4 linked regions of the Diceros bicornis minor genome follow. The protein of the gene in region 4 purifies or fractionates together with the protein of the main gene of each other region. This does not show direct contact. Links are inferred from orthologs where the notes say so. Each region holds a gene or a part of one and is shown on either strand. Other genes may lie near its edges.

The links.
Region 1: the proteins of OCRL (region 4) and PHETA1 purify together in Homo sapiens (co-immunoprecipitation; 5 studies listed by BioGRID and IntAct, counting the BioPlex papers as one, with this or other methods). This does not show direct contact. The link is inferred for Diceros bicornis minor from reciprocal best matches to the Homo sapiens genes OCRL and PHETA1.
Region 2: the proteins of OCRL (region 4) and SNX9 purify together in Homo sapiens (co-immunoprecipitation; 3 studies listed by BioGRID and IntAct, with this or other methods). This does not show direct contact. The link is inferred for Diceros bicornis minor from reciprocal best matches to the Homo sapiens genes OCRL and SNX9.
Region 3: the proteins of OCRL (region 4) and AP2A1 purify together in Homo sapiens (affinity purification with mass spectrometry; 3 studies listed by BioGRID and IntAct, counting the BioPlex papers as one, with this or other methods). This does not show direct contact. The link is inferred for Diceros bicornis minor from reciprocal best matches to the Homo sapiens genes OCRL and AP2A1.

Annotation. Positions count from the first base shown.
Region 1 is NC_080774.1:9,662,188-9,669,600, forward strand, and holds the start of PHETA1 (sesquipedalian-1), read right to left. Parts: upstream 3,007-7,413; 5' UTR 2,881-3,006; intron 2,407-2,880; 5' UTR 2,335-2,406; intron 2,327-2,334; exon of another isoform or gene 1,996-2,326; intron 1,454-1,995; 5' UTR 1,383-1,453; intron 568-1,382; 5' UTR 442-567; intron 1-441. UniProt on the Homo sapiens protein: Plays a role in endocytic trafficking. Required for receptor recycling from endosomes, both to the trans-Golgi network and the plasma membrane.
Region 2 is NC_080778.1:11,700,936-11,708,844, forward strand, and holds the start of SNX9 (sorting nexin-9), read right to left. Parts: upstream 3,010-7,909; 5' UTR 2,893-3,009; coding exon 2,881-2,892; intron 1-2,880. UniProt on the Homo sapiens protein: Involved in endocytosis and intracellular vesicle trafficking, both during interphase and at the end of mitosis. Required for efficient progress through mitosis and cytokinesis. Required for normal formation of the cleavage furrow at the end of mitosis.
Region 3 is NC_080773.1:25,130,122-25,137,639, reverse strand, and holds the start of AP2A1 (AP-2 complex subunit alpha-1), read right to left. Parts: upstream 3,010-7,518; 5' UTR 2,896-3,009; coding exon 2,829-2,895; intron 1-2,828.
Region 4 is NC_080781.1:118,337,334-118,344,709, reverse strand, and holds the start of OCRL (inositol polyphosphate 5-phosphatase OCRL), read right to left. Parts: upstream 3,015-7,376; 5' UTR 2,877-3,014; coding exon 2,838-2,876; intron 2,579-2,837; coding exon 2,499-2,578; intron 1-2,498. UniProt on the Homo sapiens protein: Catalyzes the hydrolysis of the 5-position phosphate of phosphatidylinositol 4,5-bisphosphate (PtdIns(4,5)P2) and phosphatidylinositol-3,4,5-bisphosphate (PtdIns(3,4,5)P3), with the greatest catalytic activity towards PtdIns(4,5)P2.

The sequences.
Region 1 (7,413 bases), on a different chromosome or scaffold from region 4:
GCCCTGAGGAATGAGGTATGGGTGGTGGCTCTCCTGGGAGCAGCTGGCCACAGCGGGGGCCCAGCCAGGCAACCTGACCCAGGGCAGAGAGGGCGATTGCTCCCTCGTCTCACCTGCCTAGGCAGTCAAGGAAAGCTTCTTGGAAGAGGCAACATAAGCCGTGATTTAGTTGCTGAAATCAGCCTGTCCTGACCTAGCAGCCAGGCCAAGGCCAGAGCCCTTGAAGGCTCAGGGTGTTTAATCTCTGCTCTGCCTCCCTGAGCTGTGTGACTTCAGACACGGGCCGCCCCTCTCTGAGCCTGAGTTTCTCTCTCTGCAAAATGGGACTCATGCATTCCCTCACACCCCCAACAACTCCCACGGGGACCTGGCCCCATGTCTCACAGGGACCACCCACCCTACTCGCCCGGTTTCCCTCCCACCTCTCAGGCCACCACTTACCTCCCTGCCCTCTGCCCAGCTCTGGGCTTGGCTTGCTCTTCTCTGGGTTCCAATGTCAGCTCTGTAGTGTTCAGGCTGTGTGACCCCGGGCAAGCGTTAAGCCTCTCTGGGCTTCTGTTTCCACATCTGTAAAATGGGATCGTAACAGCACCTAAGTCGGGGTGGTTGTAACAATGACACAATGACTACATAGAAGCAGCGAGCATGGGGCCCAGCAGCCGGTATGTGCTCACCGGTGGTAGCTGTGGATGGTCTTCTTGGCCCCCCTAAGTGCTCCTCTCAGCGCTGTCTCAGCAAATGGCCCTCGGTTCCCCCCACCCCACTCTGATCACTCATCAAGTCCAGTCGATCCCCCCTCCAACCTCTTCCAGATCAGTGCCCTCCTCTCTGCCCGCTGCCACCTCATTCCAGCCCCCATCCTCACGTGCCTGGATGGCTCGGTAGCCCCTTCACGGGTCTCCTGCTTCCATCCTCGCCCCTTCCCCGTCCACGTGCCTCAGGGCAAGATCCTAACTCCTCCGCAGGCCCCTGCCCTGGCCCCACTGAACTCCATTCCCCACCGGGAGACTCCGTTAAAACTACATCCAACACACGCCTCCTCCACTGGGAACTCTCCCACAGCTCCCTACTTCCCAGTATCAGATGCAGTCCTCCTGGCGGAGGCCTCCCAGCGCCCTTCCCCACCTGCTTCCCCCTGCTCACTGGGCTCCAGGGCCCCTGGCCTCCCTGCTGTTCCTCAAACACATCGAGCACACTCGCACCTCAGGGCCTCTGCCTTGGCTGTTCCCTCTGCCTGAAACGCCCTTCCCATACCTTCACATGGCCAACTCCTCATCTTTCAATTTCAGCTTGACTATCACCTCCTCAGGCCAGTTCCCTGACCACCCTGTATACAGGGACCCCCCTCCAGGTCACTCTCCTGCACCCCAATCTGAAATTACCTGGGTCATTTTTGCCTGCTCCAGGAGGGCAGGGGATTCCAGCGCCCGGCATGTAGTTGGTGCTCAAACACCTATGGAATGAATCAAACAGTTACCTTCCTAAAGCTTTCACCAGCCCCTGAGGGGGGTCTGTGCTCCATCCCGCATTCACAGCATGGAAGCTGGCACACAGAGAGGGCAAGGAACTTGCCCTGAGGCACAGGCTGTGCCCGGAGTCGCATGCTCTAGGCAGCCAGCCCAAAGGGGCTGCTCTTGAGGTCTCTTCACCCCATTAAGGCCAAGAAAAGAGCGATGCCCCTCACGCCCAGCAGCCCCCCTCCCCCTACTGCCCAAACCAGGCCAGCCCGCCCAAGGTCACAGGCGCATAGGACCCGTCCTGCCCCTGGCCCCAACCCAGCACGGAAGGGGGCAGGAAGCAGCAGGCGCCCTCCGGGAGGGCCTGGGCCCTGCTTATCTCCCCACACTCATGCTGTTTTCCAAGAAGTTCAGAGTCCGCTGATTTAACCGGCCGCGGCCAGGCAGGAAGCTGGAGGGGGCCGGCCCCTCTAGGTCCCAGGGCCAAGTTCCCGCCTCCACCAGTCCAGGCTGGAGGGCCTTGAGAAAGTCACTTCACCTTTCCGAGCCTCAGTTTCCTCGTCTGTCAAGTGGGCTGTGGAGAGGATGCAATGAGCTAAAACGAGGACAACCCACTGGCAAGCCATGAGAAAGGCACCAGAACACCCGGCTGTGAGTCGGGGTTCTCACAGCCCTGTCTGTCAAATGAGAACGTTAATATCCACCACTCCGGGAAGGGTGGGATAAATTAATCCTGAAGAGCCATTTTGCAAAATGCTTAGCAGGAGGGAGCACACTGAAGGAAGCTGTCCAAAGGGCAAATAAGTAGCTCGAGGTCTCACAGCTGACCCAGAAACCAGGACTTGAGGAAACTGAGGCACGGCACCGTGGCACTCACTTCCAAGAAAGAAGCCAGATCCGCAGGTCCTGGCGGTGGAATCCCGGCCACCAGTGTCCCCGAGCAGTGGGCCTGGGGGAGAGGGTGGGTGTGGCAGGCACAGGCAGAATAACACGTGCCCAGAGCGCCTGTCCCGGGCCGGGGCCCCGGGGACCAGGAGCCCCGCAGGCTGGAGGCAGCTCCGCTGCCCACCGCAGAGGCTGGTCCTCCAGTCTGGCCCTGCTCCCGGCTGCCCCGTTCCTTTGTGTGGGGTGTTTCTCAGAGGACAGCCAGAGCCCCGGACGGGGGTCAGCGGCAGCAGGTGGGAGCAAATGGGGGCCTGTCCGCAGAGTCCCTAGCGACCCTATGGTCCCCTATGGGGTCGGGTCATCGGCCAAGTCCGCGGGGCAGAGGGGTCCCGAATGGGGAAATTACACCGGCGAGGAGGCGCAGAAGGGCCGATCCCCGTCTCTCCGGACGGCCGGGGACCCCGAAGCCCACCCACGGCGGCGCGACCCGGCCCCGCGGCCCCCGCGGCCCCCCGCAGGTCCCCCCGGCCGGCCTTACCTCGCGGCGCGGCCTAGGGCGGCGGCGGCGGGACGGGAGGCGCGGGGCCGGGGGGCGGCCCGGCCATCGCCCGGGACCCGCTCGGTGGCGGCGATCGCGGCGCGGCTTTGTCTCCCGGGTGGCCGGGCCGGCGCAGCCGCGGGAGAGCGCGGGTCGGACGGAAGGAGGCGGGGGCGGCCGGACACTCCTCGAGCCCCGGGCGCGCCCCTTTAACCCTTCCCGGCCCGCCCGCGCCGGGCCCGCCCCCGCGCTCCTCCCGCCCCCGGATTGGCCAGTGCCGGCCTGGCCCGCCCCCGGATTCGCCACGCCCCCGTGGGCCCGCCCCCGGAACCACTCTTAAAGAGACCGCGACTGGTTCAGGAATCGCCAGTGCCCTATTTCAGGAAAGGATTCCGTCCCCGAGACTCGACGCGCTTGCAGGCGTCAGGACGGGCGGCGGATTCGCCCGGAAAAAGTCCTGGGCAGGGCCTCTCGCCGAAGCCCTGGGGCCTGGAGTCCGAGCTCCGCCCTGCTGGGGTTGGCGGATTTAGCAAATTTAATGCCCAGCTAAATTTGAAAAATAACTGCTGAAAGTTTGTGGTTTATTGAAAAAAGCTGAATACACGACATTTCGGGCGTTCTGAGAAAGTCAACAGACGACTGTACTATATGTACCGGACGCCTGGCGACCCTGCCCCTTGTCCCAGGTGAGGAGGGAAAGTTCTGGATTTGGCAGGCTTGGGGTCAAGTCCCGCTAAGCCGTTTAGTCACTTCACTTCTCTCGGCCTCGGTTTCCTCGTCTGGAAAATAAAGACAGTCATCGTGTATCAAGTTCATGGCACACAGGAGGGGCTCTCAACAAACAGGGATTGCTGTATCTTTTTGTTCTACCCAAAACAACACAGCTCCACCTCCCTGGTCCTGTCTCTGCTTCCTGCCCTTGCGCCTCCCCAGCACCCTCCTCTGATGGCAGGGGAGAACAGGACAGACCAGGATCATCTATTCATCCTATGGCTGCTCGCTGAGCACCTACTGTGTGCCAGCACTGTTCCAGGCAGCGTTCCTGAATCAGTCAACAAACAAACAAGATGAGTTCTACAAGTGATTCCTGTTAGGAAGACTCAGCCATGGCAGTGGGTGGATTTTAGACACGGTGGTCAGGGAAAGCCTCTCTGAGGAGCAGAGACCTGAAGGAAGTCAGGGAGGGAGCCATGTGGCTGTCTGGGGGAAGCGTGTCCCAGGCAGAGGGACCAGCAAGTGCAAAGGCCCTGAGATGGGACCATCCCAAGCATGTTGGAAGAGTAGAGAGGAGGCCAGTGGGGCTGGGGCTGAGAGAGCAAGTGGGAGAATAGTAGGAAATGAACTCAGAGAGTTCAACCTGGCAAAGCCAGGTTGCTTAGGGCCTTGTGGATCATGGGAAAGATTTTGCTTTTACTCTGAGAAGAATAGGGAGCCACGGGAGGGTTTTGAGCAGAGGAGGGACATGATCTGTCTTAGGTTTAACATGGTCCCTGGCTGCTATGGGGAGGGTGGACTGTAGGGAGCAAGGAGAGAGGCCAGGAGACCAGGAAGGAAATTATTGCAGTGGTCCACGCAGGTGATGATGGTGGTTTAGAGCAAAGCAGAGGCAGTGGAGGTGGAGAGAAGCAGTTGAATTCTAGAGCCTGCCTGATAGTGAAGCCAGCGTAGAGGAAAGTAGGGCCAAGACCCAAGACGTGGAGAGAGACAGATACCTGATGATATCTGATATCTGCTGCACTCCTGGATCCAGTTGTACCTGATGCTGCCATAATTCCTCAGCCAGGAAAGGCAAGCTGGAATTTCCCCCAAATCGAGATGCTTCCCAGATGAGGAAAATGCCAGGCACAAGGGCATTTGGGCCGTGGTGTGGGGAAGATTTCCCAGAGGTCTGTGAGGCTTGGCTCTCAGAGCCCCTCCTGCTGGAGTCAAGGTTTGACATGGGTGGAAGAGGCAGAAATCAGAGCGAGGGCCTGGCATCTTTTTTTTCTTTTATTCCTTATTATTTATTTTTTTAATTGAGGTGAAATTCACATTAAAAAATTAACCACTTTAAAGTGAACAGAATGTATAACGTGGTGACTAGGCTGATGACAGTACAGTTCATCCACGTTACAGCACGTGTCGTGCCTCACTCCTTATGGCTGAGTCCTATTCCACTGTGTGAAGGGACCACGTTCGTTCAGCCTTTCATCCGTCGACGGACATCAGGTCATTTCCACCTCGGGCCACTGTGACTAGCCGAGCCTCTCTGTGGCTGGGAACTGGAGTGGGCTGGAGAAGGGCCGGGGGTTCAGAAGGACTGGATGGAAAGAGGGATTTGGGAACCAGGACTGGCTCGTGGCCACCATTAGCAACCCTGAGGATGTTACACCAAACCGGGTCTCGAGTCCGTCGCTTCTCTAGCTCTGCCACGGCTTCCCCGCTCCAGGCCGCCGTCGTCTCTCGCCAGGCCAGCCGCGGCGGCCTTCCCTCAGGTCTCCCTTCTGCCGCTCTGCCCCTGTACCCCCTGAATCCCTTCTCCACTGAGGGGTCCTAGGAGAACTGGAGTCAAATCAAGTCCTGGCACTCTCCTGCTCAAAGCCGTTCCGTGGCTCCCCGTTGCCTCAGGAGCAAGTCCAGATTCCTCCCCACGAGGGAGAAGGCCCTGCTTGTTCTGGCCTCTGCCCACCCCTCCAGCCTCCTCAAGCACGGTTTCCCAGCCCCACTCCCTCAGCTTCCCCACCTGGCCTGCCTCTCTTCCCAGAATGCACCGTGCTCCTGGCCTTTGCACATGCTGATCCCCTTCCAGGACTCATCCTTCAAGCCCTCGCTCAGCCACTGTCGCTTCCAGGAAAGCATATGACCCCCAGCCCCACCCCACTGAATTGAAAGCCTTTGTCTCCTCCAGTGAGTCATTCTCTCAACCAACATGGATCAAGCACTACTGCATCCCAGGCACCAGGCATACAGGTTAAAGACAGACAAGTACACGCATGTTCACAGCAGCACTGTTCACAACAGCCAAAAAGTGGAAACAACCCAGGTGTTCATCAACAGACGAATGGATAAACAGAATGTGGTCTATCCACACAAGGGAATACTACTCAGTCATGAAAAGGAATGGGGTATTGAGGCACGCTACAACGTGGATGGACCTCAGAAACATCATGCTGAGTGAGAGAAGCCAGACATAAAAGGGCCAGATGTTGTCGGATTCCATGTATATGAATTATCCAGAATAGATAAGTCCATAGAGATAGAAAGCATTTTGGTGGTTGCCAGGGACTAGGGGAAGGGGAGAATGGGAAGTGACTGCTTAATGGGCATGGGGTTTAAAAAAATGGGTACCGGGTTTTACTTTGGGGTGATGAAAATGATGGCTAGAGGCGGTGGATGCACAACTGTGTGAATGGACTAAATGCCACGGAATGGTACAGTTTAAAGTGGTCAATTTTGGGGGCCGGCCCGGTGGCACAAGCAGTTAAGTGCACGCTCTCCGCTGCGGCCGCCCAGGGTTCGCCGGTTCGGATCCTGGGCTCGTACCAACACACCGCTTGTCAAGCCATGCTGTGGTGGCGTCCCATATAAAGTGGAGGAAGATGGGCACGGATGTTAGCTCAGGGCCAGTCTTCCTCACAAAAAAAAAAAGAAAGAAAGAAAGTAAAGTGGTCAGTTTTGTGTCACGTGAATTTCACCTCAATAAATTGTTAAAAAAAAAAAAAAAGGACCAACACGTGCTCCTGCCCTCCCTTCCCAGGCAGAAAAAGGTGAAGCAACATCTACAGTACATGAGACGAAGTTAGGAGTCAAGTAGGAAAATAAAGCAGGGGAGAGCATGTGAGTTGTGAATGAGGATGGTGGACTTGCCATTTTAGCGAGGAGGGACCGGGGAAGACCTCCCAGAGAAGGTGCATTTGAGTAAAGACCTGAAGGGAATGAGGGCACAAGCTGTGCAGATATCCAGAGGGAAAAGCATTCCTGGCAGAGGGAACAGCAAATGATACGTTTCTTCAGAGGCAAGAAACGTATCAAGGAGGCCAGTGTGGCTGAAATAGAGGGAGTGAGGGGAGGGATGAGATCAAGGAGGCCTGTGGGCTTTTCTCAGAAGGCTGGGAGGTGAGGAGGAACTTGCCAAGGAGGTGAGAGGGCACAGGAGGTAGGAGAAAAACCAGGAGAAGCCAATAGCAGGTGGCGTTCCTGGGTTTGATGACTGCCTAACCCTCCCGTCTGTTAGCAGGTGGGTCCACGAGGGCAGGGAGCCTTGTCTGCTTTGTTTCTGCTGCGTCTCCAGTGCCAGGCACAATGCCCGGCACATAGTAGGGCAGCGCTCCCAGGAGGGTGCCCGCAGGACCCGCCATCTTGCATCCGGATCTCGGGCTCCAGTCCCGTCCTCTGATCCCCCCCTTCGCTCGGCCCCCAGCAGGGACAGATGGTCGTCCACGCTGGGGTCTGAGGTTGCGTTTCCTTCCATGGTGGCCGCCCCACCCCAGACCCAGCCAGCCCCAAGAGGGAACTGAAACTCGCCTCCACCACAACACTGGCCCAGGCCACACG
Region 2 (7,909 bases), on a different chromosome or scaffold from region 4:
TCATGCAACAGTATTTTCCTACCAGTATTTTCAACATTCCACACCCACTTAATTCAACCAGACAAGCACTGTAACACAAACATACAACTTCAGATGTTGGAGCTGGAACCAAAAGTTAAAAAAAAAAAAAAAAAGCAACAGTGACTCCTAGAATCCTGTTATAATGATTACACCTAAAAGTGACTATGTAAGCACAAAAGGATCCAAATTAGTTACCAAAGGTCAAGTATGACATGGAAATGACAGCCAAATTATATAGCTATAGATTAACTCCCACTGACTATTTTCTTCATGTACCTTTTGATATATATGGGCAAAAAAAAGAATTTCTTTCCCAAGACTTAATAAAACAATTTACTCCTAAATTCACCATACGACTGTGTTGAAATAACCTTGAGGATTCTAGTAGAAGTCAAGACTTGACACACTCCCATGAGCCTTTTGCTGTATTTGATAAACGAGATAAGACTGGACTCAGAGTGACGAGACACTCACAACTGAATTCAGCACTCTCCTGAGTAACGATTAGAAACAAAGAACAGATAATCCCTTTAAAATGTGCAGTTACTGATTAACCTTCTTTGGCAGTGAAGAATTGCCAATTAAAGTTTTTCTTCTAAAAGATCCTTTCTTTCTGTTGTGAATGTACCAGTGGAGTTTTTAAAAAATCATGATAGTTCAAAGATAACTGCATCTTCAGGAAAATAAGTAAGGACAATAAATAAGAAAATTACATCTCAAGAGAACTGAAGCATTCTCTAGTAAATTCAAAGGGAAACCCAACACCACCTAAAATAACCAGATATTGTATTTATTTCTCATCACTTGAGGCAAGAGCCTGACTGCCATATAAGTCTTCAATTTTATAAAAAGTTAGACTTTATTACTTACTAAAAGTACATTCCCCCCATCTACCTAATTAAAGAAAGGAAAGAAAAATACCCAAACTACTCAGATGTCAGTAAGGGCAGGGGGTAAGGTGGGGGTGGGGACAACTTGACTCTCTGGGAACAATTAAACTGAAACTTTTGGTTTGACACAAGACTCACCAGGAACTAGGAAAACCAGAAAACTGAGGAAGGGTCCTTAAAATGCTTCTTTGCTCTGCCCTTTTTTTTTTTTAAGACTGGAAGTGGTTTGTTATAATGTAAACATGAAAATGAGTACCATGTGGAATAGTGATTAGAAAAGGGAAAGAAACTAAGTCACAATTCCCGGACTTGCCTTCAGAGTAGTGTAGATAACAACGGAGGAAGTGCTGACACACGCTTTTAAAGCTTGTGTTTAGTGAGGACACGTGCAATTCAAGTTCAGTGCAAGAGCCACTATCCTTTTCAATTTTAAGGAAAAATGAAGTTCAGGTTTAATTATCAAATAAAATGTGCATTGTGTACATCCGCAGTACTTGCTAAGCTGGGTCCCACTTACGGGACAGTACATGTAACATGCATGAGTAGATCAGAGTGCAAAATACCACAACAATGACCACCACAGAATAGATATCTACCACAAACAGCTTTTATGGTTGCAAAATGAGTGTAAAACAGCACGTGTAATTGGTCATTTCTGGCATGTTGGGCAACAAACCTCAAAATCAAATTTCCTTAGAAATCCTTGGCTGAAGTTTTGTTTTTCAAAACATCAACACAAAATTATATATGTTAAAAAGGCAGCAAATTCTACCACATCTAATAAAACCAAGGAAGAGCATAGCCAATAACACACTAACAAGGTGATTATTTCAGTAACAGAAAGCAACAGGTTCCCTGGAGAAGAATCTCCCATTTTTTCCAAATCAACACTGCACACCTAGACAGATCCAGAGTACAAAATTTAATAGACTGAAATGGTATCAGATGATCTAATCTTTCAAAGGGATTTCAAATTTATCACTTTCCTAAGTTATCTCTACTAAAAACACAAACCCAACATTCAAAAAAATTTACGATTTTCACTAACCCAAAAGCTTAGAGATTTCAAAAATGAGTATGGAAGAAGGTGATGTTTACAAGGTGACATTACAAAAACTATTTGCAGAAGTCACTCCATGCCTCAAACCACATCCCCAGCTCCCTGGAGGGTCTCCCACTTCTAGTCCTCACTCAGTGACTGTGGCTTTCCCTAACAGTGACTGTTTTACATCAAAAACTAAAGAAAACGCTCGAGGAAAGGGCGAGGGGGCGCGTGGCTCCTGCAGACTCAGGTAGCAAAAGCGACCGCTAACTGCACGCACAATCCCCCGAAAAAAGCAAACCACCACTCCTGGCCAATTACAAGCGCGAGTCAAAGTTCCACCACGTAATTCGGGCCTGCGCCTTTTTTGGGGGGCAAACACGTTACTGAAAGCGCAGTCATTTCCCCCTCTGTGGTTTATTCATGCTGGAAATACCAGTCAAACTGAAAAGGGAGCAAAACAAAAGGAAATAAAACCAGAAAAATGAAGGAAGTGGAAGCGCGGGGCGTTCAACCGGCGTCCGTGCTCCGGGGCCTGCACGGAAAATGCCCAGTCTTCGCGGGCGGGGGTCGCGCCCCCAAACCGGCCCGGGGGGCTGGGGTCCCACCCTCCGGGGGAGGGAGGGGACGCTCCCGTCCGCGGCGGCCGGACGTGCGGGGCGGCGGGGAGCGGACGCCGCTCGGGATGGACCCGGATACTCCGGGGTCAGCGCGGCTCCCTCCCGCCGGGCCGCAGCCCACGCGCCGCCGCAAACTTTGCAGACGGCGCCGCGCGCGCCCGGCTCCCGCCCCGCGCCCCCGCGCGCGGCCCCCCAACGCCCGAGCCGCGCGGGGCCCGAGCCGCCGGGCGCTGCGTGCGCCGCCAGCGGCCCCTCAGCCTCCCCGCCGCGCGCCGGCCCGAGCGGGCCTGCGCCGCGCGCCCCTCACCTTGGTGGCCATGGCGGGCGGCTCCCCGGCCCGGACGGCCGGCTCGTCTCCCGCGCCGCGGCTGCGGCCCGCGGCGGGCGGGCGGGCGCGAGGGCGGCGGCGGCTACGGCTGGGCCCCGGCGCGGCGGCGGCGGCTCCGCCTCGGCCCCGAGTCTCGGCGCTCGGCGACTCGAGCCGCCGCCCGCTCCTCCAGTTCCTGAACCTCCCCGGCTGCGCGGCCCCCGCCCCTGCCGGCCGAGCCGCCCATGGACCGCGGCGTGCGCGGCGCGGCCGGCGGAAGCGCGCCCGGTGCCCTCGGCCGGCCCGGCCTCCTCGCCCGCTTTCCGCCCCCGCCCCGCGCCTCCGCCCCGCGCCGCGCCGCCGCCCTTTGTCCCAGCGCCTCCCCGAGGGGCGGCCGGGCCGGGGTCGGCGCCCGGGGCACGGCTGCCGCGGGGCCCGCCCGGGGGCGTGGGGACACGCTGCGGGGAGCGCCCTGCCGGGGACTCGCCCCCACGGCCGCGCTCGGCGGGAAGCTGGCGTGCGTGACGCACGAGGGTGCGAGCCTAACCAGCGCACGTCCCCCGGCCGGCAGCGGGTCCCCGACGGGGATCTTTGTCCCGGGTCGGGAGCGCTAGATGAACAGCCGGGACGGAGCGGAGCACTGACTTTCCAGTCCGACTGCCCCTTCCAGGAGGTTCTGCCTCCAGCCTGGAGTGACCGCGGCCTGGCATCCCGGCTGGAACGTCTGGGCCCCGACGCCTGGGGATTTCAGTCTGAGATGTCCGCTTAACCTCCCTTCTGGACGCCTGATAAATCTCAAAGCCCCAGGGCCCCAGAGGTTTGGAGGAGACACAACGGGTTTCCAGAAGTGGAAATGAGAGGTCTACCATTTTCCTTTTTTGGTCAAAATGTCTTCAAAGTTGGATATATGCGTTTTATTAGTAACTGAATGACTTAAATGGAGCAGCAAGATTTTCACTCAAGTACAAAAAACATGGCTGGAAGATATATCTTAGTATATGTGCTACCGAGGCGAGCAGAGAGATATGTCGTGTTAGCCTAGTACATTGTTTTTATTACCAGGGATAGATATCTTGCAAATCAAGTCAACTTTATTAGACTAGGAAAGTGGTAACTGTATTTAGAGTTAATGTCAAATTTGTGTCCGCTCGAAAATACTCCATTTGACCTCCAGAGACTTCACTAGTTACATTCAACAATGGGGTTTAAAATGGATATGGTGCCTCAGAATTTTCTGTGAATTTTTGTGTTTGCTGAGCTCATAGCTAAAGCTATAGTCATCATAACATTTATAAATAGCTGTCTTTCTGAGTAAAAGGAGAGTTGGAGACTAATGTTCATTGACAGCCTACTTGCTATATATGAGGCTTTTCCATGCCTTCATCTCATTTAATCCTTTTAAAAAACGTTTGAGAAAGTCATTATTGTCCACTATTTACAGATGTGAAGAAATCAAGGCTCACTTAAATAACTTGGCTGATTCGGTAATACTTCAATACAACATTGAAGATGACCATAACCTTGGACCTAGCAGCTCTTCTAGGAATTTATTCTGCTGTCAGACTTGCATAAGAGAGCAAAGATGTTCAGTAAAGCATTGTTCTGTAATACCCCAAACAGAAAGCAACCACTATGTTTATTAATAGGACTGTTTCAATAAACATGGTACATCCGTACAAATGAAATACTAGGAAGCCCTTTAAAAACTGGTAATATTCTTAAAAGTGTTAACAAAGATAAGAAGAACGTTATGTCTAGTACAATACGTTTGTGTAAAAAATATAAAAATATGCCTGGAAAATTCCTGAAAAGAGTCACCAGATGCTATTGTCAGGATTTTTGAATATGTATTACTTTAACTATTTTAAAAAATGAGTTTACATTTTAACAAACAAATATCTTGACACACACTAGTATGTGGAAAAGCCAGGATGTGAACTCAAGTAATACTATAAGTAGTGGGTTTTCCATATTCTTTTAAGTTGGAAAGCTGGACACAGCTCCCTGCAGCAGGTCAACAATGCATGATTGATAGGAAGGTACAAAGTCAGAGTCACTCCTGTGACCTGTGCCTTTCTGCACGCTCAGTTGACAAGTGCTGGGCAGCCAATCACCCTTTGCCCCTGGCCCCAAGAGAGCAAGAAGACCCGGCCCAAGCTTTTCCTACTTGAACAATTTCTGTAGCCCGGGTTCCATTTTTAGAAGCAACCGTGGAGACACCAAACTCAGGATGACCACTGCAAATCAATATAAATAGTTAAATAGAAGTGAAATCATTACCTATAGTATTGAAGGAGTAAAAACCCCGTGGCATTGTTTATAGAGCCCAGAGAGTAGTCACTGACAATCCTCAGGTGAGCCTAATCCCCAGCTCCATCTCATGCCCTCCTCTCAGCTCTGCTTCCGCCACACTGGCCTTTCACTGCCTCCTGTCTCCTGAACATCACACTCCCTTCCATGCAGAGGACCAAGACTGGCTTGTGGGGTGCGTCACCTGTGCAGTCACGCAAAGCCTCGTTCTTAAGTGGACCCCGCGCTTGCTTTAATGCTCTGCTCTCACCGTCATTAAATTCTTAATGGTTTTGAACCAGGGGCCTCCCATTTTCGTTTTGCACTGGGACTCACAAATTACGTTGCTTATGTTGTTACTTTGTCTGAAATACCCAACACCCACCAACCATCCACTCACCCCCCACCACACCCACACACCAGCTAATCTCCCTCTCATCCTTCAGAGCTCCCGTGAACTGTCACAGAAGTTACAATTCCTCAGGGAAATCTTCCCTGCTCCCAGTCTAAGTCAAGTTTATTGATATAAGGTCTCAGAGTACTGGTTTCCTTGCCTTTGGAAACTTCTCTCAGTTTGTTATTCATTGGAGCAACTGTCTGCCTGCCTGCCCCATCAGACTGTAAGTAAGTTAAGGAGAGGAGGCTCTGAACCCCTGTCTCGCACCTGCTCCTGGCACCACACCTAGCTCAGGGTAAGCCACCACTAATCCTTTGTGAAATGAATGAATAAATGAATGAACAAGAGGAGTTGCAAATCACAAACTAAGCAATATGGCATTTGCCTGAGTCTACTTTTAAGCAACTCATAGGATTCTGTGGAACACATCTGAAAACCACTGTCTATCATTATCTAAGTTAATGTGAAATGCTACAAGTTTTATTACTCAATAATATCCTGTTTTTTAAAAAATATTCTTTGGAAATGTTATTCCCTTATGATAACATTTTATGAAATAATGTTGATTTTGACTGGAAAATTGAAAATAAAATTGCTAAATTTAGCAGTATTTACTGGAGATGTAGTGCCCAATTCATTATTAAAAAAGGCAATATGGGGCCAGCCCAGTGGCGTAGTGGTAAAGTTTGCACACTCTGCTTCGGCAGCCCAGGGTTCTTGAGTTCAGATTCCAGGTGCGGACCTACACACTGCTCATCAAGCCATGCTGTGGCGGCGTCCCACATACAAAATAGAGGAAGATTGGCACAGATGTTAGCTCAGGGACAATCTTCCTCAAGCAAAAAGTGGAAGATTGGCAACATATTTTAGCTCAGGGCCAATCTTCCTCAACAACAACAACAACAAAATTCAATAAGTGAAGATTTTAATTATGTTTAAGATCTCTGTAGCGTGACCACATTGACGTGCACATCTCATATGTACTTTATATTTGTTGGTTGGTGTTTGTTTGTCTTGGAAGTAACTACCAAGTGCATGGGATTATAAAATGCCAGTCCTCTCATTTATAGGGGCAGAAATGAGACCAAGGGAGTTAAATGACTTACCCATGGCCACGAATTAAGCCAGAGCAGGGACAAGAGCCCACTTGTCTTATCACAATTCTCCAAAACATTTCATTTTCAAACTAAAAATATTTTAGGTGAGAAGTTTGAAGGGAGTTTTGTGAAGGTCAAGACAGTCATTGCTAAAACAGGACAAGGACTCCTGTCCTGAACTGTGCTGCGAGCCACCCACCCACACTGAAAGAACAGCAGAAGTGTGACATCCTTTCATCTCATCTCACGAAGTCCACCCGCCCAGAGGAAGAGTGGCTTCTCCCAGTCTAGAAAGTTGACTTCACTCAGATAATCATGAAGGGTCCCGGGCAAAGTTGGGAGTCTGTCTTCTGCTTCCATTTGATCACCCATTCACACCTCTTTCTTCCCTCCCATCCATTGCCCTCCCATCTACCTCCTTCCTCTGATAGGCTTCCTCAGAGGTGGTGCCTAACACAGGCTCCTTCAGAACCCAGAACCCCGGCACTGAGCCCAGCACACGCCACGTTCAGTTACTTCCTCTACGGCCTGAGTTTCCATTACTCCTGTTGGTGAGACCACAATTGATTTGCTCAGAAATTTTTGCATTGGCAGACCAAGATTGCACTTTCAAAAGAAGAAAGAGCTGCAGCCAGGGCAACAGAACTGCTCTGTTTAGGGTTTGCCCTCTTTTCATCAGGCCAAGGGAAATGGAGTGATAAGGATTCCCAGGAAGCCTGTGCTAGTGACACAGCTGGTGGCACAAGGAAAAGAATGTCCATTAACTCTTGCCCTGGGTTTGTTCAGTAACGGTTAGGTGTTATAACTCTACACTTATGAAGTTAAAGCACTTTTGTTTTAACTGCGGAAATTAATAACTTAATGGTCATGACTCAGAAACTCTCTAGTCCAAACATTTTTTCACAGTGAAATGATAGTTTTTAAAATTCGTCTTCTAAAAACTTGAAGTTTCTTAGATACAGCTATAATGGTTCAGCAAAACACAAATACAGACCCTTTCCTTTTTTCTCCCTTCTTCCTTAGGGGCACAGACTTTCCTGTTGACAGATCTGAATTCTGTTACTTACAAACCATGTGATCTTAGTACATTACTTAACTTCTCATCCTCAGTTTCCTGAACTGCAAAATGGGGATGATAATAGTGCCTATCTCATGGGTTTGTTGTGTGGGTTAAACTAGATCATGAGCTCAAAGTACTTAGCATGATGTTTTGTACATAATAGGCACTCAGTGCATATTAGTTATA
Region 3 (7,518 bases), on a different chromosome or scaffold from region 4:
GGCTGAATAGTATTCCACTGTGTGGGTGTCCACATTTGTTTATCCATGCATTCGCTGATGGACCTCTGGCTTGTCTGCGCCCACTTTTTGGCTATCGTGAATAACGCTGCTCTGAACATCTGTATTCAAGTGTTTATGAGAAGAACAGTTGCAATTTTAACGCTGTACCTGTCTCCCTCATGGGGCTGGGAGCTTCACGGGGGCACAGACAAGTCTGTCCTATTAATCGCTGTGTCCCCAGAACCCACGATAAGGCTTGAAACATACCAGCCACTCAACATACACTTGATGAGAAAAGGATGGACAAGAGACATCCCAATACTCTAGCCTCAAATCATTTGGCTAGATGACCTCCACTGTCCCCACGTCGGGGTCTCCACTCTGTCCTCTGGCTTCCCTCTGTGTTCTCTTTCCTCCTCCACCCCCATCATCTGATCCCTTTGCAAATCCTTCAAAATTGATCCCAAACCCCACCACGGCTCACCACTCCCTTCTCACTCCAGTCAGGCCAACACCATCTCTCACCTGGACGCCTGCAGTGGCTCCCTGATGGCTTCCCCGCTTCCGCTCCTACCTCATGCATCTGTTCTCTTCACAGCAGCCAGAGGAATTATTTTAAAACATCAATCAGCTCATGTCCCTCCTGTGCTCAAAAGCTTCCGGCCGATCTGGTTTCACTCAGAGAAAGGCCAAAATGCTCCCTGTGGCCCACAAAGCTCTGTCCCCTCCCTGCCCTCATCGCCTACCCTCTCTCCCTTGACTCCAGCCACACGGCCCCCTTGCTCTTATGTGAACACCCAGCGTGCTGCGACCTCAGGACCTTTGAACGCACTGTTCCCCTGCCTGGATCCCTCTTTCCCCCCAAATCTGCAGGGCTCGCCCCCTCACTTCACTCAAAAGTCTCTACTCAAGTGTCACCTCCCTGGCGAGGCCTTCACTGACCACTCTCTCAATCCTGGTCCCTCTCCTCTGCTTTCCTTCCTTATTTTTCTTCACAGCACCAGCCACTGTCTGACATTGTACCAGTTATTACCTACACTGTGTCATTGATTGCCTCTGGTCTTCTGTATTTTCTAGCTCCCTGATGGCATGGGTGCTCCCAAGGGCAGAGATTCTCGTCCACTGTTGGAGCCCCAGTCCCTGGAATAGTGTCTGGCACACATGGTGATCACAAAGTTCTTGTTGAATGAATGAGTGAATGAACCTTCAGAGACCAGATGGTGTTATGAATGGAGTCTGCAGACCAGGAAACTGAGCCTCAGAGAGGTTAAGTGACGTGCCAAGGGTCACATCCCTGGTAGATATCAGAGGCAATACACACGTGCTCCTAACAGCTGGCCCCCTACCGAGTCCACAGCCCCTCGGAGTTCCAACTCTTTTCATAACAATCATAACATCTCTCCTCCCCTACACCCAACAGTTTCCACCTCTCCTGTTCCTGGAGCATCTACTACATGCTAGATCCTTCTATACCTACTAAATCCTAAAATAATCATTGAGCACCTAACAGAAGCCGCTCCTCGGAGCCAGCTGAATAACAAGAACCATAGCCAAGATCATCTAGTGCCTGGAACGTGCGAAAGGCCTTGGTCACACACATTATCACAACAACCTCATCAGGAAGGTGTGATCAGCGGTCCCTCCTGACAGAGGAGGAAACCGAGAGGTGAAGGCCCTCATTCAAGGTCACGCGGCTAGGCAGTGACAGCGCTCCAACTCAAACCCAGGTCTGAGTGACCCCAAAGCCAGTGCGGATACGGCCTCTGAAGCTCTTGGCAGCTTCAAACACCAACACCCGCTCCCAGGAGTTGGGAGCTGACTTGGCGCCAGGCCTCCCATCATCACGATGATCCTTCCTGCTGGTGATCACTGTCCCCACACTCATGTGGCCAGATGGCAGAGGGCTCCAGATTCAGCATTGTCCTGCTCCCCGACCCCTGACCTTTCTCTGGGACCAGGCTTCCCCCACCCCCCAGCTTTCCAGATCCCTTCCCCACAAATTCCTAAGGCCCCCTTGGCCCCTTCTTTGAGCTCTGGGCTCTCCCCCTTCTGGCACACCCCTCAAGCCCCCACTTTATAATGTCCCCACCTTTCCAGGCCCCCAGCTGTCTCACGTTCTCCCAAGACTCTCCATCTGCAGCGCCTCGCTCTGTGCTCCCTGAGACCCTCTCTTCCCCTCAGTAAGCTCGCTAGCCCCCTCTCCACTGCCCTCCATGTCTCCTAAGCAATCGTCCATCCTGGAGCCCCTCTACTCCTCGCCACGGTCCCCCACCTTCCCATCTCTCCTCCCCAAGGCCCTGGGACTTTCTATCACTCCCAGGCCCTCTCTATGCACTAGCCAGTGACCTATCTAGCCCCTTCCCCTCTATGACAGCCCCTCACCCAGGCCCTCAAGCCCGGCCCCATTAGTCCTCCGGGTCCCTTGTGGCCTCCTCCCACTCTATCGCTCCACAGGGTACCCCGCACCCAGGATCTCCTGCGCTTTCTATCTGTATCAGGGATTCCTCGAACCCCATCGCTCAGACGACCCCCCAGCCTTTCTATCATTCCCAGGGGGACACCTCTACGCCCCCATCCCCGGGACCTTAGTAGCCTCCTCTCCTTTAAGACCCTCCCGGACGCCTCCAGCCACTCCGTGTCGTCACCCCCAGAGGCACTCTGTGACACCCCAAGCCCTTTCAGTTCCCCACCCGAAAGTTGCCCCGGGGGCCTCTCTATCCGCTCCCTCTATGATCGCAATGGCCTTCTACCCCCCGGGCCCTTCTGTACCCCCGGAACCCCTCAATTGCGCGCGCCCCCCCTCCAGCGTCCCCCGGCCGCGCTCTCACAGTTCCGGATGTCGGAGATGAAGACCGCGAGCCCCCGCATCCCATCGCCCTTGGACACGGCCGGCATGATGGCGGTGGTGTCGGCTCCAGGCCTGGCCGGGCAGGGCACAGCGCAGCGGGGGCTGGCAGGCGGGGACCGGGAGGAAAGGACCCCAGGCAGCGCCGAGGAGCCGAGCCGGCCGCGGGGGGAGGGCTGGCTGGCGGGCGGGCGGGCTGGCAGGCCGCAGCTCCGCCCCCGGCCCCTCCCCTCCCCTCCGCGGTCCTGAGCTCTCAGCGCCTACTGGCTCGGAATACTGCCGCTTATCCCCGCTCCCTCTCTCATTGGCCGCTGGACAAAGGCACGCCGCTACGATTGGCCCAGCGCCCCGCTATTTCCGTTCGGGCGGGGGGAGGGGGCGTTGCCGGAGAGACAGGCGGAGTTCGGTTACGTACTGTGGGACCGCCCCCTCGGCGCGGCCGGGTCCGATACTGATTGGATCCGACCTCTCTACTAGAAGGGAGGGATTGACGTGAAGGAAGGCGAGGGAGCGGGCTCGAGGAGGCGGGACTTGCGTTGATTGGGGCCAGTGGGCGTGTAGATCGCCCCCGTAGGCGTCGCGGATTCGCCAGGCCTGTCCTACTCCCGCCCTCGATTGGGCGGTTTTGGGGGCGGGAGGAGGGCGATGATCGGTAGAGAAGGAAAGAGAAGGGAGGTTGTCACTCAGCTGGGCTGGGATAGGTGGAGCGACGCCTGCAATTCCCTGCTGCAGAGAAGGGGTTGGGAGGGGCCAGAGAGCATGAAGCGTTTACTGCGCCAGCGTCCCTCTGTTCCTCTTTCTCCCTCCTCTCCTCCACCCCGACTCCTTAAATCTTCTTCCAAGAAGACTTCCTTTTCCCCTACCCCTCCCTTGCTTAGCAGCCAAGATGTCAAGACCTAACTTGTCAGGAGACCAAGAATCCGAGAGTGGAGGAAAGAGTAATTCAAGTCTAGTCCCATTAAGCAGAGGATAAAACTGAGGTCGAGAGAGGCCGAGTGACTTGCCCAAGGTCACAGAGCTCGGAAGTGGCAGAGCCGCAATTTAAACTATACTTCGGCTTTTAACCACTCGTCAATATACAATGCCTTTTTTTTTTTTTTTGCAACCATATCGCCATTATACAGATATTAAATCAAAATTGCGAGTCCCTCCTCCAGCAGACTTGGAGATCCTCCTGAGCAAGAATGGGACCCGGGGAAGAATGCTAGTTAAAAGGAAGGAATAGGTGAATCCGTTTTGTTTGGCCCAACAACCACCCCTTGGCGCCCCAAAGACCCCATGTGCAAAGCTGACTGGCTTTTGGGAAAGCAAAGCCTCCGGAAAACAATGCCCGGGGGTATTGAGAAATTTGGGGCAAAGGGAACTGGAAGAGTCCATTTCTGTCACCCCCGGGAACTAAACCCCACCCACCCTTTTCTAATCTCAGAAGCCTATTATTTTTGGAATGAGCCTTGGGGGAGTGTCCTGGATCCTGGCAACGTCCACTCTGAATCGTAGGGGGATGGGGATGAGGGCGAGAAGAGCCCACCTTCCAGGTTCAATGGATCTGTCCATTTGCTTTTCCAGGAATGGGGCTTGGGAAAGTCCATTCTGGATTCCGGGAGGACAGACATCGCTCAGCTGTTTTAGTGACCAGGAGAGTCCATTCCTAATATGGGTTTGGGGGGGGGTGCTGTCTGCCACTGAAAAACATAGAACGGCCCCATTAAAAACAACCACAAGAAAAATTATTAGGACCGGGAGTTAGAAAAAGTGGTTTTTATGGAAGAGACAGTAAGCTTTCCAAGGACTGGAGGAGTCCATTCAGGACATAAGAAGCACTTTCTCCCTGAGGATAACGCCGTTAAAATATATATATGAGTAGTGGGGTGCGGACTAACACCCAGAGTCCCAAGAACAGGCAAAGTCTGTCTCAAGGGAAGGGGGAAAGCCACCCTCTTCCCCGCCTCAACTCTCCACCTCTCTCCCACCCACCACCTTCAACCCTTCGCCCAGAGCCCACCTGGGGCCAGATGGAGTTAGCTCTGCGTTTTTGTTGTGGGGATAAGGACGTCCTGGTTCTAAATCCTGTCATGGGCGGGTGAGGGGACTCAGTCCTCTCCCAACTCCGTCTAGAGCCCATGAATTAGCCGAAGCTTAATTTTCAAGCTTGGGCCTAAAGCAAAGGCATTCAGGGGTCTAATGAGTCAAGGAAGGCCGACTTCACCTTCTGGAAAACCCTGCGACTGCGATCCTGCGTGGGAGTGGATGCGGCGCCCCCCCCCCCCCCCCCCCCGCAGGAGCTTGCTGGCTGGCTCCTGTTGAATTAGAGCAGTGCCTACCAATAGAAATACAGTGGGAGCCACATTTATAATTTTCCATTTACTCCAGCTACGTTAAAAGAAAAAGTACAAAGAAAAAGTGAAATTAATTTTAGTAATATATTTTATCTAACCCAATAACCCCAAATATTATCATTTCAACATATTTGACATTCTTATTTTCCTAAGTCTTTGAAATTGGTGTTTTATACCTATGGCACATCTCAGTTGAGACTTGCCACATTGCAAGCACTCAGTAGCCACAGGCCATTGATAGTAGCTGTGATATTGGACGGCAGAGAGTTACAGGACTGGATTTGAGCAAGAACATTCTGGGACGCAGGGGCTGACCTACTGCTAAGTTTTAAGACCAGGCCATGAACAAGTCCATGTTTGGGGGTCAAAATGAAGTTTGGGCAAGTCTTTTTTGGTTTTAAGGTGGAGCATTAAGGGTCCGGCTCGGCTCGGCCCGGCCCGGTGGCTTAGCGGTTAAGTGCGCGCGCTCTGCTGCCAGTGGCCTGGGTTCGGATCCCGGGCGCGCACTGATGCACCGCTTCTCCGGCCGTGCTGAGGCCGCGTCCCACATACAGCAACTAGAAGGATGTGCAGCTATGACAGACAACTATCTACTGGGACTTTGGGGGAAAAAATAAATAAATAAAATCTTTAAAAAAAAAAAAAAGGGTCCGGCTCTTTGGCCTAGTGGTTAAGTTGGGTGTGTTCCGCCTTGGCAGCCTGGCTTTGGTTCCCGGGTGCAGACCTACATCACTCGTCGGTGGCTATGTTGTGGCAGCGACCCACATACAAAATAGAGGAAGATTGGCATAGATGTTAGCTCAGGGTGAATCTTCCTCTAGCAAAAAAAAAAAAAAAAAGGAGCATTAAGAAGGAGCCCCAGAACAACTGAACAACAAAAAAACAAAGAACCCGATCAAAAAAATGGGCAGAGGGGGCTGGCCCGGTGGTGCAAGCGGTTAAGCGGGCGCACTCCACTGTGGCGGCCCAGGGTTCGCCAGTGCGGATCACGGGTGCGACCCGATGCACCACTTGGCAAGCCATGCTGTGGCGGCATCCCATATAAAGTAGAGGAAGATGGGCATGGATGTTAGCCCAGGGCCAGTCTTCCTCAGCAAAAAAGAGGAGGATTGGCATCAGATGTTAGCTCAGGGCTGGTCTTCCTCAAAAAAAAAAAAAATGGGCAGAGGAAATGAACAGACACTTCTCCAAAGAAGATATACAGATGGCCAGTAGGCACGTGAAAAGATGTTCAACATCACTAATCATCAGGGAAATGCAAATCCAAACCACACTAAGAAATCATCTTACACCTGTTAGAATGGCTATAATCACCAAGACAAAAAACAACAAACGCTGGAGAGGCTGTGGAGAAACGGGAATCCTAGTTCATTGCTGGTGGAAATGCAAACTGGCACAGCCTCTATGGAAAACAGTGTGGAGATTTCACAAAAAATTAAAAATAGAAATACCTTATGACCCAGCCAGCCTGCTACTGGGTGTCTACCCAATGAATCTGAAATCAACAACCCAAAGAGGCTTATGCACCCCTATGTTCATCGCAGCATTCTTCACCATAGCCAAGACATTGAAGCAACCCAAGTGTCCCTCGACTGATGACTGGATGAAGAAGATGTGGTATATATACACAAAGGAATACTACTCAGCCATAAAAAAAGACAAAATTGTCCCATTCACAACAACATGGATGGACCTTAAGGGTATGATGTTAAGCGAAATAAGCCAGAAAGAGAAAGACAGACACCACATGAGTTCACTTATAAGTGGAAGATAAACCAACACACAGACAGAGAGAACTGTTTGGTGGTTACCAGGGGCAAGGGGGGTGGGGGGCGGGCACAAGGCGTGAAGGGATGCATTTATATGGTGACTGACAAACAATAATGTACAACAAAAATTTCACAATAAAGAAAAAAAATTTCGATGTCTCTGTTAGCTAATTACTGAAAAATTTGGCTAATAGGATTTGAGGAAAAAATAGCTATATTATATATTTTTAAAAATTTTAGCAATCATCTTACCCTCCAATAAAAACACTCCATCTTCTGTGAAAAAAACAAAAAAACGAGAGAACCCCAGAAGCCCCTTGAGGAGCTCATGGGTTGAACCACCAATAACTTCTAAGACTTTGACCTGAGCAAATCATTTCTTGATTTTTCTCCAGAAGAACTGGACTCATCCCCAGTCTTCCCATTTTGGCAAATGGGCCCTCCATCAATCACCCAGGCACTCTTGCCAGACTCTTCCCTGTCCCTTACCCCAAACCAAGGCCAGAACACATCCGGAAGCAGCCCCCTCCCTCCATCACCACTGCGTCGCCCATGCAGGCCACCATCA
Region 4 (7,376 bases):
CTAAGTATGCAAATTCTACCTAAATGTAATCATCCCTTTCAGAACAGAAAGATGAAAAATAATAGGTATATGGCAAAACAATGGAAATCAGAATTTGGTAGCTGTCAAACAGAAACGAGTGACAAATTGTGAATGCAGACTCAGCATTATCCTTAGGAAATACTTTGATTTGTTCAAGGAAGGTTAAAGATGAAACAATAGGTTGCATCATAATCCATTTTCCTTGAAAAAAATGAATGTTAGTGTTTGATTCCCTGTTTCCAAAAAACCAATTTTTAAATGTAACGGTGGTCTCTCAAGTAAATTTCTCCTATGGTTGATAGCAGGAACCACAGAAGTAAAGATTAAAATAGGCTTCAAGTTCTAGGATAAAAAAGCCAAAAGTAGGGCCCGACCCGTGGCTTAGCAGTTAAGTGCACGCATTCCACTGCTGGCAGCCCGGGTTCGGATCCCAGGAGCACACCTATGCACCACTTGTCAGGCCATGCTGTGGTGGCGTCCCATATACAGTGGAGGATTGGGACGGATGTTAGCTCAGGGCTGATCTTCCTCACAAAAAAAAAAAGGCCCAAAGTAAAAATGTTCTGGACACTCAAGTCAGAGAAGGCACCCAAGAGACAAGAATTTCAGGATTATAGATGGTACGACAGTATTAGGTGACTCCGATGATTTCAAAAGAAACTTCTCAGACAATGTAATCCTGAGATACGTTACATGGGTTCAAATCTCAGCTACGCTACTTCCTAACTGTGAACAAGTGACAACCTCTCTGTGCCTCAATGTCTATATCTAGAAAAGGAAGTTGACGATGATATTACTATTTCACAATAACCCTCACATGAGGGTTAAATGAACTAACTCATGAAAAGTGGTGAGAAGAATACCTGGCACACATCAAGCCATTAAGTGTTAGATGTTGCTGTACTCCCATAACTTACAAAGAGTTGGAACAAAAGAATTTGATTTCTCTGTGAGGAGGACACAAATAGTCAGGAGAGCTACCACCCTTTAAAAGTTCTAGTACAAGAGTCCAGATAGAATGAGGTATTTATCTCAAGGCCAATTGCTCACTCCCTTATTAGCTAAACAGAGTTCCAAATATACTGAGCCAAGGGACCAGATCCCAAGCTATGGTCATATCAACAATGTAGCTATTTTATTTAATCCTCATAATTTTGATTTTAACAGAAGAGGAAACTGAGGCACAAAAGTTTACTGATTTGCCCAAGGGTCCCATCTCTCTATCCCATTCTAGCCTTTGGAAGCCGCAGCGGTGTTCCGCTTTTCAATTCACTTTTCTGTTAAATTCACTTATATTAAATGGGTCTTTCAAGGTTTGATGAAATCTGGGAAACATAATATGAGTTTCCCACATCAACAGAACTGACCAAGCAGGACCTAGGGAAGAGCGACTTCACAGAATCAGTTGACATCCAGTTAGAGGCACCAAGAGTCTTAGAAAAGGGCAGGATAGGCCAGTGGGAATTTCTTCTGTGTAAATTAGACAGCATAGACACAGACTCAGTCTGGACAAACTAAAAGCGGGAACCGAGAAAAATTGTTTTTAGGCAGAATCCAATGTTGGAAGATGACAGGATTTAAGTGATCAACAATTTTTAAACTCTGATGTCAAGAAACCAGTGAACAACCAAAGGAGGTGGCTTGGGCACACAAGGATAGGGGCCTATGATATATAGTGGTCACCATGGATACTTTTAAGATGAGGCATTAGTTGCAAGGGAGTGAGATCAGTAACTATAGTGATAGCTTATCAAAATAATCTTTTGATCCATCAGCCAACAGTATTTACTGAGCTCCTATGTGCATGCAAGGCAGAGTGGAAGTTAACACACACTGATAAAATGGCAAATGTCGTTTATATTTCTACATATTTCATTACTTTTTCTAACAGTCAAGTCAATAAGTGAGCAGTTACTAGCCTACACTAAACCATTACTGAATTAATGAATATGCCTTCAAGCAAGTGGAATAAAGGGGTTGGGAGAGTGGAGGAACCAGTTGAATGGGGTTAAGAAAAGGCACTAACATAAGGTTAATGAAGCGTTTCCATAGCACTTTTACTTTTTGTAAACCACTTTCACATTTATTATTCTCCCAGTTAAAACTCCAAAGGCTATAAGGTAAGGCAGTTAGTTAATGTTTTCATTTAACTGATGAGGACACTAAGGCCCAGAAAGCTTTATTGACTTGCCCAAGGTTACACAACATGTGTCAGTTGCAGGGGCAGGAACAAAGAACCCAGGCTTCCTGCTTCCCCGTCCATTGAGTCTTTCCACTGAGCAACACTGCCAGGAGAAATCTAGCAGCGTGGAAGTTGGGGACAAAGACCCGTGGTTAAACCACTTGCACTTCACACCTTGGCCTGAACCTGTTGCCCGCGCGGCCTCAGTGGGAGGAGGGTGGGTGGCTTGTCGCGGTTTGCGGTTGCGAGGTAATGGCAGGCTCCCCTCCTCTGTGGGAATCAGGTGGTTACTTACTCATATTGCCCGTTCCTCTGGGCTAGGGTGAGAGCGCAGGGCTCCCGGAGAGGACCCTTCATCTCCATACCCTCGACAGTATGCGGACGCTAGTCAAGGGTCTCTTCTAGAAGCTCAGCCAGGGAGGGGTGGCGCGGTGTGGTGTGCAGGGAGGCTTTCGCCCCGCTGCCCGCCCCGGTCCCGGTCCCGAGGCACTGCCTCCCACGCCCGCCTCCCTCCCCCGCTCGGCTCGGCCTCTGGGCCTGACCGCCCCCGATCCCTGCGCCGCGTTCCGCAATCTCTCCGACCCCCACCCCCCACCCTGCGCGGCCTCCCCTCCCCCTTCTCTCGGGCGGATACGGCAAGGGGCTGGGCTCCGACCGGGAGCGGCGGCTCCATCCGGGCGGCCTCCGGGCTCAGCCGGACTGCGGACTGCGGCCGGATCCGACGACTCTGCGTCCCCCGTCCTCACAGCCACCCGCCTCGGCTGCGCGTCGTGTGAGGAACGGCTCCGCGCCGGGAGCCGGGAGCCGGGAGCCGAGAGCCTGACCCGAGAGAGAGCGGCGCCTCGCGCCCCCGCCAGTTTTCCAGGCCGCCGCGGATTCCGCCCCCTGCGGCCAACTTGCGGAACTGCAGCGAGAGACCCGACGGAACGGGGGCGTCTCAACCATGTCCAGCAAGGAATATGTTTCAAATGCTGCCTGTGACACCAAAATTCTTCTGGGGACTTTGAAGATTGCCACAGAAACAAAACACAGTCATACCTATGAGGGAACTCAAAGGTGTTGGGCCAATAAGACCCACATCATCCATTCAAAAAATCCTTATTATGGTTATAATGCACCGTGCTGGTTATCCTACCTCTCAGATGTTCTCCCCTTCCTCTTCCTTTCACCCGCTAAATCAGAAAAGTCCTCAAATCTCAGACCTTTACCCTTCTTTTGCGCCCCCTCTAGGTCACCTTTCTTCCTCTCTCCTAATTTCTCTGTATCCAATCAGTCAAAAAACCTTGTTAATATTTTCTTTGGAATTAATTTTTGGTTCCTTGTTTTCTCTCCATTGACACCGCCATCATTTTGTTAGCCTTTGTGATATCCCCTTTGACCATTTTACATAAGAATATGTACATAAGTTTGGCAGTGGAACTTAAGCACATGATTTATGACATAAGTCATAAGAATAGTCTTCCCAGAGTAACATTTCAATTGTGTTTTTCATTTGCTCAAGAATCTACAATGGATTAGCTATCAAGACTGATTTTAAACCTATAGTAATTAAGACAGTGTGGTATGGAGCTAGGCAGACCAATGGAATAGAATACAGAGCCGCAAAACAGACCCACACATATATGGAAAGTTGATATGCAGCATATGCAACATTTCAGATCAGTGGGGAAAGAGTGGATTATCCACTAAATGGTGCTGGGACTCTTGATAATCCATATGGAAAATTATAAAATTAGATCCCTACCTCACACCATAGAGGAAAAATTCAATTCCAGGTGGATTCAAGATCCAAATGTAACAAGCAAAACTTGACAACATTTAGAAGTAAATAGAATATCTTTATGAACTTGGAATAGGGAATGAAAATGAATAGACAGCACAAAAATAAAGGAATCGATTGATACATTTAACTATATTAAAATTCAAGACAACATAAACAAGTTAAAATACAAACCATAGACTAGTAGAAGATATTCTCAATGCATATAACTGACAAACATAGCCTGAGGTTCTACACTTCTTGCCATCATCACTTTTCTGACATCCTCTCCCACCACTCTCTCCAACTCATGCTGCGTAGTCACACTGCTCTTTGCTATTCCTAGGACTTGCCGAACACATTCTTGCCTCAGGGACTTTGAACATGCTGTTCATTCTGTCTGCACTCTCACCTCCTTCAGATCTTCGCTCAAATGTCACTTTCTCAGTCAGGCCTTCCTAGACAAATTTATTTAAAATTGAAGTTTGACAATCTCCTTTCCCACTCCCATGCACACATGCTCCCTATCCCTCTTCCCTGTTTATTTTTCTCCAGAGGATATATCTCTATCATTGTTCTATTTTATTTATCAATTTTGTTTATTGTTTACTTTTCCCCACTAGAATGTAAGTTCCATGAGGGCAGGGATTTTTGTCTGTTTTGTTCATTGCTGCATTCCCAGTGCCTAGAACTGTTCCTGAAACAAAGTAGATGCTATAAAAATATTGATTAAATGAATGAATTAGTATCCAGAACGTGCAAAAACCCCTATAAATCAATGAGAAAGAAACCTAGTAGAAAAATTGACAAAATATATGAGTAAGTAATTCATAGTCAAGGAAACCTAAATGGCCAGTAAAGACATGAAAGGATGCTTCACTTCATTACTATTCAGGGAAATTGAAAATTAAAACCATGAGATACCATTTTGCAACCATCGGTTTGGTTAAAAATTTGAAAATTCAGACAACACCAGGTGTTGTTGAGGATGTAGAACAGATAGACCTCTGATCACCGCTAGAAGGAGTGTAAGTTGGTAGAACTACTATGAAGAGCAATTTGACATTGTATAATAAAGTTCTATAGGTAATACCCTTCAGAAATTCCATTTCTAACTACAGACTGGGCAAAATTCTAACTGTTGTGCACAAGGAGTCATGTAAAAGAATGTTCATTGCAGCATTATTTGTAATCTCAAAAAAATGGAAGCAAATTAAATGTCCATCAGCAGGTGAATGGTTGAATAAATCATGGTATTCATGAAGTTGAATACTATTTTAAAATTAAAATGAATAACACAAGCTATATGTATTAACAGAGTTAAATCTCAAAAATATAATGTTAAGCATAAAGAGAAAATTGCAAAACATGTACGGTATGCCGTTTATATAAAGTCTGAAAATATTATCTGTTGCTTATGGCTACATAGATATACATAACAGTAATAGTATATAAATCATGAAAGGGCATGATCATCACCAAATTCAAGGAGAGGATTGAGACTGGAGAGAGGAATACAGGGAATATCAACTGTATCTGTAATATTTATTTCTTTAAAAACAATCTGAAAATTGATGTTGCAAGATTTGATAGAACTGGGTGGTAGGTACATATATGGGTTATGTTATTCCATGTACTTTCCTGCATTTTAAATTGTTTGTAATCAATGAAAGTGAAAAACAAAGAAATAATACGTAGAGGAGGGTTAGCTGTGTCAAATGCTGAAAACAGGACAAGGAAAATGAGGATTGAGAGACTTTCTTTGGATGTGTCAAGGAGTTCACTGGAGACTGCTAAATAAGTGGTTTCAATAACTGGTGAGGGTAGAAACAAGATGACAGGGAATTGAGAAGGGACTGTATCCTGAGGAAATGGAGACAAGAGACCACGTATTGAAGAAGTTTGGAAGCAAAAAGGAGTGAAATACAATTTTAACTAAATTAGTTAGAAGGGTTAAAGAGAAATTCTTGACAAAACTTGAAGTTACTCTAAAGCAACGGGAAGGAGCTAGCAAAGAGGGGGACATTTAAGGTACTAGAAGAGGGAAGCAGAAAGGTTGCAAGAAAAATCCCTCAGTAATTGGGAAGGACAAGGATCCAAGGTGCAGATGGAGGAATCAACCTTAGAGAAGAGGAGAGGTAGTTCTTCGTCCAAGTCTACAGTATCCCCAGCACCTGAAACAGTGCCTGGCATATAGTGGGGTACTCAAATATTTGTTGTAAAGCATAAGAGGTTGTGAAGACATGGAAATGTATTGAGGTGAGGACACTAAAAACTGTGGAGAAACTCTCACAGGGTAGTTGATGATTTTCTCAAAAAAAATTAATAAGTGTATGTAATAACAATAATAATAATCCTGGTGGCTAACTGAATATTCATGTGACACTCTCCTCATGGCTTTACATACATACTTTCATTTAATCCTGACGAAATCCCTGTAAAGTAGTAATATTATTGTTTACACTTTAAAGATGAGAAAACTGAGACTCAGAGAGGTTTAGCAACTTTTGCCCATTAGCTAGTAAATGGCAGAATCAGGATTCAAACTTATGTTTGTCTGACTCCAAAGCCCGAGGATTTTAACTAACACATTACGCTGTTCATTCAATATTAACAGTAGTAAGAGTAAGTGTTTATTTAGAACCTTCTATGTGCCAGGCACTATGGTAACTGCTCTACCTGAATTATCACATTTAATCTGATGAAATTGAAGTTAACAGTAGAGGGTTTGGGAACTTGAATAAGGCAGAGAAGGAGAGAACAGGCACTGTTGGAGACTGACAGTGAATCCAGAAAAGTTAATAAAGGGTTTTAGAGCAACAGAGAAAGCCCACCTGGAGGCAGATGGTGTGCATTTCTATAGTGGTCCAAATCAGCATGGGTCTGTAACTTTCTCTGGCAATGCTTGGCAGATGGAAAGCAGGAGTAGAGAAAATCTACCAAAAAAGTGCATTAGGCTTGGGAATTAGTACAGCAGGCAGAGAAGAATGTCATGGGGCGAGGGAGTCTAAAGTGGTGTTTAGGATGCATTGAAATAGCTGACCCTGGAGTCTAAGTTGGGTAAAGATATGTATCCCCTCAGCCTAGGGCCAGCAGAGGGGAGGAAGGCAAGCTTGGCTAATTTAATCATTTCCCTGGGCCTGATTCTGTGGCAAATTATTGTATCTGCTTTTTTGGGATCACTTCAGGGACTATGCTTACTTATGTGCTTCTGTACATGTTAAGTCACTTTTGTAAATTGGCTAAAAATTATTTTATTCACAACTGCTTTCTGATTTACCTGTTGTTCTTAGTGATACCACTATTTAACTAGTCACCCAAGTTTGAAACTTGAGGTTTATCCTGAACTCTGCTTCTCCTTTACCTATGATATCCAATAACCCAAGTTTTGTCAATTCTATAGTAAATTTTTAC